Linked DNA regions of Drosophila melanogaster. Changing the gene in region 1 together with any one later gene gives a genetic interaction. Each region holds a gene or a part of one and is shown on either strand. Other genes may lie near its edges.

Evidence for each region.
Region 2: of bib (region 1) and fru, changing one enhances a phenotype caused by changing the other (phenotypic enhancement), as found in Drosophila melanogaster (one study listed by BioGRID).

Annotation. Positions count from the first base shown.
Region 1 is NT_033779.5:9,982,510-9,987,655, reverse strand, and holds the start of bib (big brain), read right to left. Parts: upstream 3,012-5,146; 5' UTR 2,707-3,011; coding exon 2,510-2,706; intron 868-2,509; coding exon 701-867; intron 56-700; coding exon 1-55. UniProt on the Drosophila melanogaster protein: Essential for proper differentiation of ectoderm. Acts synergistically with neurogenic locus proteins Notch and Delta during the separation of neural and epidermal cell lineages in response to the lateral inhibition signal.
Region 2 is NT_033777.3:18,542,511-18,547,467, forward strand, and holds the start of fru (fruitless), read right to left. Parts: upstream 3,077-4,957; 5' UTR 2,603-3,076; intron 1-2,602. UniProt on the Drosophila melanogaster protein: Probably acts as a transcriptional regulator.

The DNA.
Region 1 (5,146 bases):
GATATGGATCGCACTACGCATAGAGCCAGGGTTACGGCGGGATTGATGTGGGCGCCTATGAAGGGGAAAGCATATCTTTAGATACTGACGTCAATCTCTGGTGGTGGCCACCCAAAGGGGAGCAACATTTAATATCAATTTGACACTTCTTCGGAAGGCATTTCGTATAGAACAACATCATAACTTAATGCACAACCAATTGGCTGTGAAAAGGCGGGGAATTGCAAGCCAACACAAAATGGGGGAGTTGCAGGAAAATCAAGAACACATGTTTCAAGACGCTTTTCACGATGGGGTCCCAACTACATTACTTTGGTCTTTGGTCTGTTTTCATTCTCTTTTTCTTTTTTTACTTGTAAAGACATTTAATTGCCTTGAATGTCAACGCAAATGAACAAATACATAAATACCAGAATAAATGCAAGGGAATAAGGGAAAAAGAAAGAAGTGGTGGAACTTGGCCCGGGGGCGATAAGATTCCAAGGAGCTGGAGTAGGTGGAGCCGCACCGAGTGCATTGCCTTCTCGAAAGTATAGCAAACAAAAAAAAAGGGGGTTCCGTGTGCTGGCTGGTTATGGTCATGGGGCTCCCTTGAAAACGGCAGTTTCCCACGCAATTCCAATGGGCAACCCGAAAAGAGACACTTGTCGCCCCATTCTGTTGATGTTTTTGCGCTTGTTTATTGTCTCCTTCGACTTACCCGAGATGTGGAGGAAGCACTGCGTCAGTGTAGCCATCGCCAGGCCGGAGGCCAGAGCCGTGGCCAAAAGCACGGACGACACACTGGCCCCCACTCCGACGCCAGCGGCGGCACCGCAGACGATGAACACGTACATGAAGGAGGCCAGACACTCGCTGATGATGGATCTGGAATGGAAGAGGAATGGAAGAAGGCGAACGAGCCCGGGGTTAGCATGGTTCCGCAACTGGGTTTGGTTTGCATGTGGCTCCACCGACTGCATGTGGAATGTGTACAGTACAGTGAATATTGGTTGCATAAACATATATTTCAGCGCTTAAGTATAGTAAGGCTAAGCGTGTTGAGCCAAAGGATTCATACTGAAATCAAATGAAATCCGTTTCAAAGTTTTTGTCGTGCAGCCCTAGACTTTTCCAAGTTAGCTGGTATCTACTGTACGGCACAAATCAAGTTGCACACAAAGCTCTTTTTTGTTGCCCTCAAGTCGTGGAGTGACAATTAAGCAGGGGGCGGGTGGGCAGGCTGAGGAGGAGCTGGAGGGACTGCGAGTGGGTTCTGGAGCGGATGGGGGAGCTCTAGGGGAAGCGTTCTGATGAGCAGCTGCAATGCTGCCGAATTCAGTTGATTCACATTAAGCTAAAAAGCGCAGAGTCCGCTGCACGATAACGAAAATGCAAACAAATCGAGGGCTTTATGAATTTCCATAAAATCATGTATTCAGCTGTTTAATTTGGCAGCGGCACTTCACTTTAATTGGAACTAAATATGTATCTCAACTTCTGCCTAAGTTCTCTGCTCCCCACTAAGTTCAAGTTTTTCATTTTAAATGGTCAGTCGGAGGACTTGAGACAAAAGGGTCCCGCAGTTTAGCCGGAATTTAAGCGCTCGACATGCTGCTGGCTAAGATTTAATTACTCCATCAGCTCGTGATGAAATGTTTGTTATTTGCCAGTTCCCTGAGCAAAAGGTCCTTGTATGGGCCACAAAGTGCTCGAAACTTTGGCCGTGTTTAGTTTGGCGATTATCTTGATGATGTGCGTCTGGAGAACACTTGGATTTCAATTACTTAGCGTTCAGACAAAGCCAGCTGACATCCAACAATTGCCATCTAAAGTTGAGCAAATTGAAAGCAAGTGCAGATAATGACTACAAAAACAAAAGGTTCGAAGATGATATACACGCGAAAAAAACCCCGCCATTTAGATTGAAGATTTAGTTTAGATTAAAAAGGGTTAGTTAATATGCATACGAGATACAATCATGTTTTACCCTCTCTAATTGTAAGTATTTGATCATACACAACAGATTGTGGTTTTATTTAAAATCTTAAAAAAATCTTAGTAAAAATGACATTTTTCCCAAATCATTACTCTAATTTTCTGCACAAAAATTATCAGTTTTTTTATCAGAACATTTAAAATAGTTGTCTGAATATTGAATGTTATACCTCGTTAAACTCGCAATTAAATTCCTAATCGAACTGTATTTAAAAACGACAATTCAATTTTTTTGCCATTTTTTTTCAAATTTTGATGATGTTACCCCTTACAAAAAATGTGAAAATTCACCCAAAAATTAATTTTCCTAAATCCTTCAAAAAGTGATAGGGTTCGATAGCTCTGGTAAATAGCTGCTCAAAACAGTTATTCTTTCATCAATATGAGAAGTTTTAGCGAAGTTATGACAAAAATGCCGCTTGTAAATATCAAGTTTTTGGCAAAAGACGTTTTTCCGAATTTCAGTCATTAAATAACATAGTTAATCCCGTATATCTATATAAGTATTTGTCCTAGGGCAGGCTTGACTTACCTCCAAAACTCCAGCGTGCGAATCTCAGCCTGCATGCTCCGCTTGGGAGCCTGCAGGGTGCTGGACAGGCGATTGTTGACCCCGTGGCCACCGCCGTGCGAGTCCTTACGCATCGCCTCCAGGCGCTCGAATAGCGTCACGATGTGGTAGTCTATGTTGTGCTCCAGGGGCACGGTGTGCAGACTTTCGTCGGCCATGTCGGACTCAAAGCACGATTTGTTTATGTCTACTAATTAAGTAGTTGAATTGAGCGAAACACGCGACAAGAGGCGGCGAAGCTGGCGAATTGTTGGCTGGTCGATTGGCTTCACTTAGACACACATTTCGCACACTGCAAATTGCACTCAATTTATGTCAATTGACGAGTTTCTGAACTTTCGACCGATCCGTTGTGATTCGCCTTCTACTTTGACTTTGACTTCGAACCGAAAACACGTCCGTATTCAAGCGCGAGTGGTGAGCGAATAACCGAGTCGAGTCAGAGTCAGGTTGCTTCTGCTCGCCGACATCGACGTCCACGGCCCTCAGGAACAAGTTGAAGTTGCAACACAACTCACCACCAACACCACCACCACTATCGCTCGGCGGCGGCAGCGAAACAGCTGCCCACTCCACCGACGCAGTGGTGGATAAGCAACCCCTGCACTGAGAAATAAATAAGGTGCATTTGTCACGCAGCAAACGATGGAAATCTGCAAGCAAAAACAACGTTTTAATATCATTATCTTTCCTATATATATTTTGAACGATATACTTATATAAACGTATAAGTAATTTCCAACAACTTATACTTACTTATATAAATAATTTTTTAGTTGCACACTTCTAAGTAAAAGCCACATTTTATACATTAAATAACCTCATAAGATAATATTTAATATCAAATATATTGATTTCACAGTTTCCAAAATATGCTCAGTGCATTGGAACGGAATGGAAACGAAACAGAGGTCCTGTCAACCTGTTGGTTTTACCGCCATACATGAGTAATGCCTCGTACTCACCACCCATTCGGCAGCATAATCATAATCATAAGTTGCTAAGTTAATTGCGCAGCACTGATCAATAACACAGATTCCAGATTCCCGGGACCCAAAGATGATGATGATGATGATGGTTGCGACGATGAGAATGAGGATGATGATGATGATGATGGGGAACACAGGCAGCTGGGCCTGGGAGCAGCTTTCATTGAAAGCATTTCCCTTTTTCGACACATTAATGAAATGTAAAATAATCTGCCCGAATGGGCAAAAACTTTCATTAGATGAGTTGGGCATGCCACTTTTGTGGTTAACTCGGTGTATTAAAATAAAACTGATTTCGATCCCAGGACCATCACACTGGAATTCGCCAAGGGAAAATTATAGTTATGATATAGTTGCTATAATAGTTAGTATATATAAAATTATACATATTTTATTCCCGAACATATCGATAATAAGATAATAAATTAAAACACATCCATTATAGATTACAAGATGAAGCCTTTTTGTGATTTAATATGTATGTATGTATGACATTAAATTCTTTATGTAGAGATTTAAGTACTTTAAGATTGACCATTTTCTTGAGTGCACTTTCGGGCCAGAAACTCCAAAGGGAGATGCCGAAAAAGGGGCCATTCTCACCGGTTCACATTTTCCGCATCACTAAAAACTATAATTATGAGCCCTAACCACTTGATACCCTTACCTGTCAATTGTCAAGCTGTCCTCGTGTGAGTCGAGTGATTCTTCAAGCCCAATGAGCTGTGAAAGTTAAGAAATTAGGTTCGCCACTCCGTGGACGAAGTGAAATCAATCACGCAGACTTCTTTGCCCGGCCACAAGAAAAGAGGGACTCGAAGAAAGCGAGGAGGCCTCAGAAATTTCGTCACTGTTGCGATTTTGTACATTATTTTTTTTCCGACAAACTTCGGAAAAAAAAGGGGCGGAGGAAGGCAGGGGGCCGTCGGAAGGACGTTGCCATATATGGCACGTTGGAGCACCATGATGATGACGATGATGATAATGGGGATGATGATGCGGAGGAGACGCCGAAGGAGACGAGACGACAAAAGGCTCTGGCTCTGGGACCTCTGAGCGTGGGAATTATTTTGCACACACTCTCTGTGTGTGTGTCTGACTTTTTGTTTTTCACTTTTTATTTCGTATTTTTCGCTTGTTTTTACGTCGAGGTCGCACGGGGTCGTTCCTTTGGCCGGTCGAAGGTAAGGTAATAATAAGATGTTTTGTTTCAATCACATCGTCGTCATCATCATCATCATCATCACCATAATCATCGTCGCCGGTCTTTCTGCTCGTGTGCATGCAAGATCCCCTTCCTGCAGCCATGGAGGTAGTTCAAGTTAGTTTCTTAGTTATTGATTTTATCAATATTACACTTTTTAAGTCATTCTTTGATATGATATCAAAGATTTAAGAAGGAAATTAAAAGTGATTGTACCTATGGAGAAGAAGTAAAGATTTTAAATAGATTACTGAGAAGGTAAGAGCTGTTAAGAATTACCCGTAGAAAACAATTTTAAACACATTCACTAAAAATTTAATACTTCACAATTGATAATAATATTGATAAGACCCCCCTCTGGATACATCCATGTCCGTACTTATCGTGGGAGAAAGACAACGAGAG
Region 2 (4,957 bases), on another chromosome or scaffold:
ATCTCGACACTTCACTTCACTTGTCCTTGTCATCCGTTACAGACCGCCCTTTGGCCCCAAGCCACCCCCCCCCCTTTTACTTCCACCCATATTTTACCCATATTTTCCCGTGCTTCCCCCGACTTTTCCCACCTCCCAACTTGTTGGACTTTTGTAACGGTTCTGGCACTGGCTGTTCATCAGGCTGCAGTCGCAGCAGTTCGGCTTACACACAATTTACAAAATAACCTCAATCCACCCACTCAATCTCGCATTCCCGCGCCCCGCTGGAAAACTGCGTCCCTGCCTCGCAGGGGCCCTTCACTCAGTCACTCAGTCAGCCGACTGGGAGAGTGTGTAAATTGTCTTGTGTAAATATGCAAATTTTTCTTATTTTCATACCCTGAAAGGGAGTCGCACTGCTGCAACAAGAACTTTACAAGCCTCTCAGGAAAATGCAGCCGCACTAGTACTGTTTTATGAAGTAAAACTAGTAACTTTGGTAAGCACTTTTTTGTAAGTGCTATTCAGAATATGCTCAACTGTATAGGAGTTGTATTAAACAAATGCGACTTTAAAAATATTTAAAGAGTTTATTCAGCATTTCCTTCAAGCAATTTTTTTCTACGAAGGAAATCCTTTGAGATGTATCTATTTATCTAATGAAATTTAAAATATAATTTTGCCAAATCATTATAAAAATTAATATATATACTCCCGATTTTTTCCTAATCCATTTAGTTTACAAGCTCTAACTTGATTTTCTGTTTCATAATAAGATTAACTGAAATATTATATACTCTTGCATCGTTTGAGTTCACATTTTTTAATTTAAAGTTGATATGGTCTGCTTTTTACTTTATTTTAACTCATATAATAAGAGTAACTTTCTTAAATCATCCTAATTTCTACCGAAATAGATTCCCATCTATTTTTAGGCACTTTTCGTGCAAGGGTATTAAGCGTATCGACTTCCTGGGGTGTATCCTGTCAATCCTGTTTTTATTGTCAACGTTGTTGTTATTGTCTGGAGTGTGGATAGGGATCGGGGGCGCTGTGGGCGGGGCGCTGGCAGTTCGTGTAAACAAACCAAGGCGTCGGATTAAAAAGTTTTGCATTACAAAGAGTTTTCGGTGGACGGACGATGGGGACGGAAGCTTGGGAAAATGTTTTGATTATTTAACTGCAAGTTACGATAAAACTAATTGCAATTACAAGCGGACTCTTTCCCTTTATGGCCCCTAATGAAATTGGCAATGCCAAGGCTGACGATTCAGCACAACTCAAATCAAACTCGGACGCAAACTTCGCACTGCAATTTTATTGGCCCGGTTCAATTTGAATGGTTTGCTTTCTTTGTTGGCCTCTGCATAAATTTTCCTCGGGCAATATTGATTTCCATTACAAATCCAATATTAAACTATGCCCCTGAGAGCGATTACTCGATTCCTACCGTTTTGCTTACTTACTTAAACCTTTTGTAACTCAACGAAATTGAGGACATGGCCAGGACACGGCCAGGATGCACCCGGCCCACAGATTTGTAGTTATTACAAAGGATCATTAAGAGCGTAGATATATTTTCCCTTTAGACTTGTCATTTAATCTCTGGAAATATTTACTACACATTCCTACCTCATAATTTGTCAAAATATTTTTGGGTGCCTTTAAAAACCAAATTTATGTTGGCCGGGGGAGATGTAAGAGTACTCAAATATATTATTGAATATAAATTGGTAACACGGATTAGCCAGTTTGCAATTGGCCTTGGTCTGCTGAACTTCTGAATAAACTGAATCAAATGCAGATGAAGTAAACTGATATTTGCTAATAAAATATAAGAAACTGAAATTTGAATTGTGCTCAGCCAACTTTAGGTTTTGTTGTAATTTAATTTGCTAGTTAAAAGTTTTCGAAGATTTTGTTGTTATAACTGAACCGAATGTTTCTTAGCAGTATAGTATTCTTGCAAAACACCTCAATGTGGTTTAGAAAAATAATTTATTGTAATTTAATTTAGGTATATCTTAATTCTGTCAGTAGATTCTATGATTTAATTTTCTAAAAATTCTTTGTAATTATTAAAGGTAAATAAGGACCATATATTTGTCTGACCTGTTATTAATTATTTTATACATCTGTACTGATGTGAATGGATGAATATTTTTTAAATGTGTTAACGTAGTGAATTTTCTTGCAGTACCATAGATATTAACTGCTTGGATACTCACTCAAATATTTTAATATATTTATTTTATATTAAAACTTGGAAACCCCAACGTTTTCGAACCTATCTAACATTTTTAAATATAAAACCTAATTGATAAACACGTACTTCATAATAGATAGCACATAGTGAGAATGCACTTTAAATATTTTTAGAACCCACATTATAAAATTTTCAAAAGACTTAGTTAAAATAAATATTTATACAAAGAAAATGAGCAAACAAATGTTTTTTTTTTAATATTGGTTTTGTACCTGTGCCCTTAACGTATTCCACAAAACCACTTAATACAATTTGAACAACATAAAATCTGCTCTCAGAAGAGCATATCACCTGCACTTTAAGTAACTTTACATAGGAATACCTGGCTCTTGTTGGCCGGGAACACAGACTCACCTGCTTTTATTTGACCTTATGCGGCTGCAACTTGTTGACTTTAATGAAAATGCACTCAGCAGAGGCTGACTGGCACACACAAAACGCTGGCACAACAAGTTAATATGTATTAGCTAGTCGCTAGTATGTCTGTAGTATCTTGGCTTAAAACGGCACTCGGTGAGACACCAACAGAAAAAAAAAGGACAAACAAAATCGGGCGGCACTCGCACACTCAAACGTACGCACACAGTTGCAAAACAAGTCAAGCGCGAAAGGACCGACTAAAACATGGCTAACATGTTTGGCTAATTGGCGTTTCTAGCGCCGATTTTTACAGCGCTCTAGCATTTATGTAAGCGGAATGTAAAACGCTTTACAGGACTTCAAAGTCTGGATTGGATTGGATTTGAATTGGAATGTTGTGGCAGGTCGTTCGGTATGTCGGCTGCTGATTTCCTTCGAAGGGATTGTGTGAGCTGTGCGTCCTTGCTGAAGGAGCCGCCGCGTCCAACTGACTGCTGCTGGATGTGCAAGCTGCGATTGTTGCAACGACTCTGCTGTCGCAGCACCAACGAAACGCAGCAGCAGCAGGCGCAGCACGGCGACAGCAGCAGCGTCAAAGGCAAAAGCAGCAGCAACACATAAACGCAGTACATGGTGGGTTCGGTGGAATACATATACATGCTCGTTGCTGCCGAAGTCCTTGCAGTCGAAGGGTTGTGTAGTTGCACTTGTAGTTGCTCGTGTTGCAACACACACAGCAGCAGCAGCAGCAGCAGCAACAGCAGCAACACGACATCAACTTCGGCCCACATTGTGCAATTGGCTTAGTTCCCAGTCAACAACTGGCCGCCTTTACAGTGCCCGTTTACAGCGAAGAGAAATGCTCTCGATATCCTTGGCTGCTTTCTCTCCGAGGATTTTCTCGAACAGCTGTTCGCGCTTGCCGGCTCTTATCAGTGAAATGGTAACAGCTCCTGTTAGCGTGCAAATGCACTTTTCTTTTCTTGGCTTTCCGCAGTGGCATTTCTTTTCGTTTCCTTCCTCTTCCTTGCCTTACTTTCATTTCCGTTCCTTTCGGTGGGGTTTGATTTATTATGTAAAAGTACAAGGACACTGCCACATACAGTGGGTACTCAATTAACTAGCTTTAGAAAACGAAAATATATATATTTTTAAAAAGGCAATGTTTACTTTAAGTAAATATTAATTGAATATAATATGATTTCAATACGAATAGCAAACATAAGTAGGCAACTTAACGTTAATAATTGATGAGTAGGGAAAACTAACAAACAATTTATCAAAAATGTATTAAATATATGCTTTCGCTACGATCCCGATTACAGGGTGTACACTGTACCTGCGGAGCTGCGTGTGCGTGCCAAGTGTTGGACAAACAAGCTGAGCACTAAAGCCGGAATACATTTGAGACTCTTGCAATCGACTTAATACGCCGCTAGAAGGGGGCACGATACGGCCTCATTGCCCCTACGGGAATGACAACCAATATGAAAATGGATTACCACAAAATGCAAATTGCGAAATGGCCAATTGATACCAGCGTCTAGCCACCTAATCGTCCGATTAAACCACCTTAAAATCGCAAAGCAGCCAGGCATTAATTACACGAAGTAAATACACCGACTCGGTTTACTCGGCAATGATAAAATCTATTATTAGAGAGGCCGAGTGGAAAGTTTTCCACCAACCAAGCCAACCAACGTTTGCTGTTGCCAACCGGCGTTGTTAGCAGAGCGCTGCTAAAGGACCTCTGTTAACTGGGCCGGCACGTGTTTCTCTCTCGCACGCACACAGCGAAGCGGATTTTTTGATTCTGTTTTGATTAATAGCTTCGTTGCAAGCTTATCAAGCGCCCACACACACACACACACACACACACACAAGCGCGCGGCCAGGAAGTGCAACAATGTCACGTGGCCGGCATTTGCCGAAGTCTCCTCTCGCCAGGACTCGCGCTCGCTCTCATTTCGAGTTGCCCCCATTTTCTCTCTCTGTAAGGCCTGCGCTGTTTACAGCAGTTAACTTTTTTCCAACGCCCTGCAATCGAACATGTTGCAACTATCCGTCTCTTTTGCGCATTTCCCCAGCCCATCGCAACAACAACAATAAACGAAAATAAACAAAAACAAATATAGCACGAGCAGCAAAAAATCGAGTATTACATAAGTCGGTGCTCCACCTACGCGAATTGGAATATAGTGCTGGCCCTATGTGACTGTCCTATATGAAAGATCGGGTATTTTGGTCGGTTCCTCGCTTTTGGCGAATGAAAACTGCGAAAATGCATTGTTCGTTTTAATTGCCAAGGAGCCGGACTTAACTGCCACCCAATGTGGCATGCATTTCGGG